2 linked regions of the Ovis aries genome follow. The protein of the gene in region 2 binds, or shares a complex with, the protein of the main gene of each other region. Links are inferred from orthologs where the notes say so. Each region holds a gene or a part of one and is shown on either strand. Other genes may lie near its edges.

What was found.
Region 1: MKS1 (region 2) and TMEM216 share a complex: the UniProt entries of both Homo sapiens proteins name them as parts of the tectonic-like complex. The link is inferred for Ovis aries from reciprocal best matches to the Homo sapiens genes MKS1 and TMEM216.

What each region holds. Positions count from the first base shown.
Region 1 is NC_056074.1:36,444,998-36,449,076, reverse strand, and holds the start of TMEM216 (transmembrane protein 216), read right to left. Parts: upstream 2,823-4,079; 5' UTR 2,795-2,822; coding exon 2,758-2,794; exon of another isoform or gene 2,744-2,757; intron 2,171-2,743; coding exon 2,069-2,170; intron 1,962-2,068; exon of another isoform or gene 1,943-1,961; intron 1,936-1,942; exon of another isoform or gene 1,774-1,935; intron 1,768-1,773; exon of another isoform or gene 1,632-1,767; intron 1,510-1,631; coding exon 1,417-1,509; intron 1-1,416. UniProt on the Homo sapiens protein: Part of the tectonic-like complex which is required for tissue-specific ciliogenesis and may regulate ciliary membrane composition.
Region 2 is NC_056064.1:8,833,047-8,836,675, reverse strand, and holds part of MKS1 (tectonic-like complex member MKS1), read left to right. Parts: intron 1-145; coding exon 146-188; intron 189-445; coding exon 446-511; intron 512-2,301; coding exon 2,302-2,372; intron 2,373-2,717; coding exon 2,718-2,787; intron 2,788-2,882; coding exon 2,883-2,990; intron 2,991-3,629. UniProt on the Homo sapiens protein: Component of the tectonic-like complex, a complex localized at the transition zone of primary cilia and acting as a barrier that prevents diffusion of transmembrane proteins between the cilia and plasma membranes.

The sequences.
Region 1 (4,079 bases), on a different chromosome or scaffold from region 2:
CATTTTAGAAAATACAGAAATTAAAAGACCTCATGATTCACCCTCTAGAGAAAGCCATTATTACAGAATGAGGCATACTGTTTCAGACATTTTTTATGTGTATAGTCACGTGTTATTATTTTCATTATTGTAAAAGTAGAATCATACTCTGCATACCGTTTGGCAACTTATTTAACCATTTAACATGGTTAGACGTCTTTCCACATTAACTACCTTTTACTCTATCGTAACTCTTTCCACACCTAACTACCTTTTTTAATGGCTATGAACAATTCATTGAACCAATATCATAATTTAACTAGTCCTGTATTGATAGGTGTTAGGTTGTTTCTAAGGTTTTGATGTCAAAAAATACATGGCAATACATCCTCATACAGATATACTTGTGTATCTGTAGAAGTGTGTTTTTTTCAGCCAGTTTTAGAAGGGAAATTGTTAATGTCTAAGAATATACATTTTACCTGGTAAAACCATTAGCAAAAAAGGTTATACTAATTTCTATTCCCAGGGGTGTGGGAATATAAATACTCACATGAGTGTGAGACCATACATACTGTTTCTTGCGGTTATTTGAATACGGGGCATTTGGGAATCTTTTTAATCCGATGGGTGAATATGTTACCGTGTTTTTCCAGTTTGCTTTTTGTTCGTGAGTTTGAGCATTTTATCATGGTTACTGGTCCTTTGTAATTATTCTTATGTGAACTGCCCATTAGGGTCGCTTGCTAATTTTTTTTTTTTTCGCTGTGCAGCATGCAGAATCTTAGTTCCCCAACCACAGATCAAACCCCTACCCCCTGAGTTGGAAGCTTGAAATCTTAACCACTGGACAGCCAGGGAATTCCCTCCCTTGCTCATTTTTAAAACTAGCTTTTTTCTTAGCATTTTATGTGAGCTTTCTTTATCCACTGTGATATGTACTTAAAGTATGTTTTTTTTCTTCAGTGTGTTTAAAGAACATTTTCAGGGATGACATATTCTAACTAAAAAGGGCTTGCTCTGTACTTCCAGGAATACAAAACTTGTCCTAGAGAAATCCTTGTTCAGAAAAATGAAGGGGATCTTAGTGCTGACCTGTGCAGGCATCTCCTGCCCCAGACATGGAGTTACAGCTGAATCTATTCTCCCAAGCAAACCAGTGAGAGGAACAAGGCACTCTTGTAACAGTTAGACAACTGGGAAGAAATTGTCTAATATCATGCCACTGCCCACTTCTGGCCCTGCCGGGCAACAGACAGATACATCTTGACCCAAAATATGAAGCAGCTTGAAACTTCAGAGAGGGAGTAATGGGATATACCACCAGATCCAATCTCTTGATTGGTGAGCCTAGGTTATGTACTTTTCCTTGTTGATCAGGTTACGGATACCAGCTCATCTCAGAAAGAATGGAAATATTCTTGGACAAACACTCACCAAAAAATAGTCGGATTATTTCAATTCCGAGATACAGGAAGAGCATCGCCACATCCAGGACTAGATTGGCTGTTGGGTACGGGAGCAGGAGACCTGCCAACACAGAAGTCAGAGCCTGAAAACAACACAGAGCAGTGCGCAGGAGAGCCCCACACGCGCGAGTCTCATCAGCTGTCCATGAGCTACTTAGTGAGGTGTGGGCAGCATCTGTTAACCTGATGCAGGATGTGTTAACTCCTTGTTGTGGCTGCATCTCTTTTAGAGGCAGGCATGTTGTTATCGGGTTTTACTCATAACTCGGACAGTCTATGAGGACTCCACCCTCCACCATTATCAGCTGTACATGGGTACACAGACCGCTGAATAGCTTCCGAGGCTCATCAACAGGCTGAAAGTGGAGTTCAGCAAGAGGTGATGGGGGAGAGTTGGAATGAAGAATCCCACATTTCCCAAACTCAACAAACTCTTGCCCAGGAGCTTCCTACTAAATCATTCTCAAGAAGTCAGCTGATGAAGAGACTTCTACCTTACAGTGAAGAGGTTCCCTAGAGGGCAGAAAAGAATGAAAAATAGGAAGGTTTTTGGTGGGAGTTGGCTCTGCCCTGAAGTGGGGAAGGGATGTGGGCAAGGGTAGTCAATCCCCAGGCCTTACCTTTATACAGAAATATGAAGAGTTCCAGCAGGAAATAGGTAGCATAATACCACCCATTCAGAAAGAAAAGAATTTCCAGCGGGGTGGAGGACAATCGTTTACCTGAAAATGTGAGCACAGAGAAAAAGAGATGGGCTGGAGGGCAGCTCAACCTCAGTTATTTCAATGGTTTTGTGTCTAACGAAGGAAAAGTGAGGTCGCAGCTAATGGAAAGGGCTACTTGGGGCACTTCTGATTGCTGATGAGGAGAGAGAAAAAGAGAGAGAGTGTGTGTGTAGGGTGTCTGTGTGTGTAGGGTTTCTCTCTGTGTGTAGAGTGTCCCCTAAACTTGACTCCGGGCTTCGGGCGCGAAAGTCAAAGCCCCTTTAAGATCTAACCTCGTCACTATTTGGGAAGGGAAAATGGGGTGCAGAGGCCAGCACTGGCTTGTTTGAAGTCACACTGCAAATTTGTAACTGAGCTGGCCTAGAACAGACCTGGCCAAGAATTTGAGGGAATCTAAGACCCGCACCTCGAGACCTTCAGGAACTCAGGGAGGGTGAAGCTGCTAGACCCTGCTTTGGACAAGCGAGAAGTGATGTCCATAACACCCGAGAATAGAGGGTTTATAAAAGTCGAGCAATGGGAGAGAAAGGAATGGAATATAGAAGCGATCAGGACCAGCGACTCACACACCTCCGTAATCTCACCTCGCGGCGCCATCTCCAGTCCCCATGGAAACTGCATACGCGGCTACCTCTACTTCTGGAGCAACGAGGCGTTGCCGGAAGCGGGGGACAGAGCGGCCCGAGACTCTGGCCTCTCTGCCCGCCCATCACACTCTATGGTTGCCTGGTGCGAAGGCCGTCTTGGTGCGTCCGCCGGTGCGCGCAAATGGCCTTCACTGGGGTTCTGTCTGGAGACCTTCGACAGCACAGGGGCCACCCCCCGAGCTGGAGTCCGTAGGCCCCTAGGGCTGGGAGCAGCTGTTGGGCTTCCCCACCCAAAGTTTACAATGAATCTGCAGAAGTAGCCAGTAGTGGTAATGTGACCACAGGATTGCCAAATAGGCTGTAGCGCCACGATTCTCTTCACTAACGGTCTGACAATACACGAAAAAAGAACAGTGAAAGTGTAGTCGCTCAGTCGTGTCCGACTCTTTGTGATCCTATCGACTGCATATAGCTGCCAAGCTCCTCAGTCCATGGGATTTTCCAGGCAAGAATACTGGAGTGGATTGCCATTTCCTTCTCCAGGGGATCTTCAGGACCCAGGGATCGAACTCAGACCTCCGGCATTGAGGGCAGGCTCTTTATCATCTGAGCCACGAGGGAATCCCAAACAACGGTCTGATAATGCACAAAAGTGCTCTGCAAATGCGGTTTGGCGTTTGGGGTCTTTTGTCTAGCAAGCAGTCTTTTCTGGGAGGGTAATAGGGGATTTAGTGCGTCCGATTTATCAAACAGGTACTTAGAAGACACCAGAATTAATCAGAACTAGAGGCTCCTTTGGCAACCCACTCCAGTATTCTTGCCTGGGAAATCTCATGGACAGAGGAGCCTGGCGGGCTAGACAACCCTGGGATTGCAGAGACTTCACTGAGCGACTGAGCAGGCAGGCAGAGGATCCTCTCGAGGAGCATAAAGAAGACCGGGAAGATGAAACATGATCACCACGTGACCCCTGACTTGCATGGGAGTTGGGAAGACAAAGTACTCTAGGTGGGAACTGAGAGAAGTTTTCAAGAGATGACTGGTGAACTGGGCTTTGAAACCTGATTATGGTTTGGAGCAGTTAGCATGTGTTACGGCCCACAGGGAAGCAGAAAGAAGAGTTTTGATTGGACTGAGGCTGACTTGACTGTCAGCCACTGTCAGGATAGGACAGAAAACATGGCACACTCAAACCAGGTAATTTGAGTAGAGTGACTCAAGTGTACAATTCAGTGGCATTAATTATATTCACAATGTTGGGTAACCATCACCACCATTTTCAAAGCTTTTTTCATCATGGCAATGAGAAACTCTGTAAC
Region 2 (3,629 bases):
TCTGTGGAGAAATGGCAGGTGGGGAGGAAGCGTTGCCAGAATTGGACATCTCATGTCAGGTCCTGTGGGGGTTTACGAACAGGCTGGAGGAGAGGCGTCGCTTCCCTCAGGCCTCCTGACTGGTCCCCACTTCTCTCTACCCCAGACTGTACCAGGTGCCCTCCGGCTGTTTGTGAATGGAGAGGTGGGTAAGTGTCTCACCAGACAGGGGTCCCCTGAGGCTTGGCAAGTGCCAGGGAGAGCAGTGTGAAATAGTCCTCCCCACCCCAGCAGTGGCCTTGGGTTGTCCACAGTGCTCGGGAGACTCAGGTGTGAGTCTTTCCTGGAAACACAGAGTTCCCGGCCGTTGGGAGCCTTGCTTCCACAAGTGGGTAGGTCCTGCAGGACTGGGTCAGGCGTTAGGGGTGATAGGGCAATAAACTGAAACCGTTTCTTGTTTTCTTAGTTTCAGCCCAAGGCTATGAGTATGATAACCTCTACGTCCACTTCTTTGTGGAATTGCCAACTTCTAGTAAGTAGTATTCACAAGTCTCTCTTTTTACCCCTTCTGACAGTTTTCCAGAAGCATTCAGTCAGGTTTCCTTCCCCACTCCTCCACTGAAATTGTAACCGTTCTTTTCAAGGTCACAGGTCACTTCCAAGATGTGGAATCCTGTGGGGACGTGTCTGCCTTCGCCCTCCTTGGTCTCCCAGTTGCTACAGCTCACTTTCCTCGCTGCCCCTCTCCTCTTGCCTTCGGGCTCCGTGCTCCTCTCTGCTCTCTTGGTGGTGGCTCAGCAGCCTCCTTGGCTATTTCCTTATCTGCTGTTGACCTAAAACTATTAGAACATCCAAGGCCGGGCCTGGCCTTCTGTTACCGTCTCTCCACAGTCTTTCTAGGTGGCCTCATCCTTCCTGTGGCTTCAGTACTATGTGTGTGTCTCAGACGCCCAGACGAGTCTAGTCTTAGCCTCTCCCTGAATTCCAGACTCACGCCCACTTACCTGTTTGTTCTTTCTGCTTAACATGACCGAAAGCATCCTTGATTCCTCCTCTTGCTGCAGACCTGCCATCACGGTCTTCTCCATCTTAGCAGAACCACAGCGTCATCTCCTGGGTTTCTAATACCAGGAATATAAGAGACATCCTTGATTGCCCACTTCCTCTAGCTCCCTACCACCATTCATGCCATCAGCAATTCCTGTCAGGTCTGCCTCCCAAAGATGTCCCGAATTACCTGTTTTCTTCAGGACCCTGGACCAAACCACCATCATCTCTTACTTAGGCCAAAGCATGGTTTGCAGTTTCTCCTCTTGCTTCCTGTCTTGCTCTTATGCTTCTTTTCTTTGCTTAAGTAATTCGTATTTATTTGTGTATTTTTAGCTGTGCTGGGTCTTCACTGCTGCAGGGTCTCCTCTCTAGTTGAGGTGCTCGGGCTTCTCACGGCAGTGGCTTCTCCTGTTGCAGAGCACGGGCCCTCGGGCACTGAGGCTTCAGCAGCCGCGGCTCCCGGGCTCTGGAGCACAGGCTCCCTAGTTCTGGTGCACGGGCTTAGTTTCTCCTCGGCTTGTGGGAATCTTCCTGGACCAGGGACCGAACCTGTGTCTCCTGCATTGGCAGGTGGATTCTTTATCACTGAGCCACCAGGGAAGCCCCCTCTTATGTTTCATTTGCCACACACACCACAGCTTAACTGAGCCTTCAAAATGTAAACCAGCTGTGTCTCTCTTCAACTTAAAGCCCCCACAGCTTCCCTTCCCACTTTGAGCAAAGTCCAGACCCCATTCCCTGAAAGAGCTGGCCCCAGCCTGTCTCTCCCTTATACCACTCCAGTCATGCTTCCTGTTCCTCAACAGGCCAAGGTCATTCCCAGTTTAGGGCCTTTTCAGGACCATTTCCTCTGTCCGAAACCTCTTGAATCCTATCTTTGCATGACTGGTTCTGCTTCAGTTTAGGTCTCAGCCTAAGTGCCACCTCCGAGGGTCCCTCAGCATCCCTAAATGGGCCTCCAGGCCTCTCAATCTCTTCACACTGTTCTATATTTAGCTTTTATCACTCCCTGATGGTCCGTTGTTGGTTGGCTTTCTGTGCCCCCTCCCACCGCCAGCTGGAAGGTTAGCCCCCTGAGAGACAGGAAGCTTTTCTGTCCGGTCACTGCAGTGTCCCCAGGGGCCAGTCATAGCACACAATGGGCCCAGTGAACGTGGCGTGAGTGATTGGTCACGCGCCTGAGTGACTGAATGCAGAAAGGAGCTTTGTGTTTCTCTCAGCTGCTCGCCTTCCTCCCAGGTCGACTTACTCTGTGTCGTCTTTGGCTTTTAGACTGGTCAAGCCCAGCGTTCCAGCAGCTCTCAGGAATAACACAGACCTGTGCCACCAAGTCCCGGGGGATGGTATGGCAACAAGAGGGGCACCTGGAGGGAACACGGCTGCTCCTGGCATGACATCCAAAGATGATCGGGCTGACAGCACGGGGAGGACTCCAGAGCTGGGTCTGGCGCTTTGCTATGGGCCCTGCAGGGCCGCCTGGCCCCACGGTTCTCTGCCTTTTTGTGAATGGCAGCAGCTTGCGTCTGGGTGTCCCTTCCCCTCTTAGCCTCTTATTTCCTGTGTGGAGTGATAGTTTTTCCTTTTCCTTTGGGACCGTGACCTTGTCACTGGCCACAGGAAAAATGAGTGCCAAGTGAGGCCTTGCCACTCTGTGGCACCGAGTACAAAACAATAGCCCTCCTTTTTAGGATAACGTGGCCTGCTTCTCCTACCCTTTCACATTCGAGGCCTCCTTCCTCCACGAGGACGAATCTGTCGGTGAGTGGGCCGGCCGGTCCTCGGCCTTGGGGCTCCTCAGACGCGCCCTCTCCTGTGGGGGCCTCCCGGGACCTTGCTGCTTCTCCCCTCCGCAGATGCGCTCCTAGAGTGGCCCGTGCTCTACTGCGAGGTCCTCTCGCTGGACTTCTGGCAGCGGTACCGCGTGGAAGGCTACGGGGCTGTGGTGCTGCCCGCCACCCCAGGTGACCTCTCGGCCCTGCCCTGCATGCAGCCCTCCTGCCCCCGCTCCTAGATGCAAGGCTGATGCTTCAGAGGACTCGACCACTTCCTGGGAGAAGCAGGGATGACTGGGAACTAGAAGCACTTAACTTGCAAGATTCTGTGCTCCTTTTGAGGGCATTTTCTGTCTCTGCTAGAGACAGCTGAGCAGCCTTGGACTCTGATTCCCGCTCCTCTGATTTGACCTGCAGCCTTGGGGGAGCAGCCTGTGTCAAGATGGGCTCTGAGCAGACATGTACTGAGTGGACCACCGTTCCTTTAGAAATAATAGCCACTATTTTCTCTTGTGTGCCAGGCAGTGTGCTGAGTGCTTCTCGTTTAATTCTTCCCACCACTCTTTGAGGCATAGGTGTTGGTATTATTTCCGTTTTATTAGACGAGGAGAGTAGGGCTCAGAGAGGCTGAGAAACTTGCGCCAGCGCCCAGGTAGTAACTGGCAGAGCTAAGATCTGAGCTTCTGTCTGATTGATTCCCACGTAGGTCCCCTAAACCTCCGTGGTGACCTTCACCAGAGGTCAGGCTGTCCCCAGACCAGGTGTTTTAGTGGTGGCAAGGCCGGTGTCACTGCTGGGGAGTCTGTGAGGGACCGCAGGCCCTTTCCA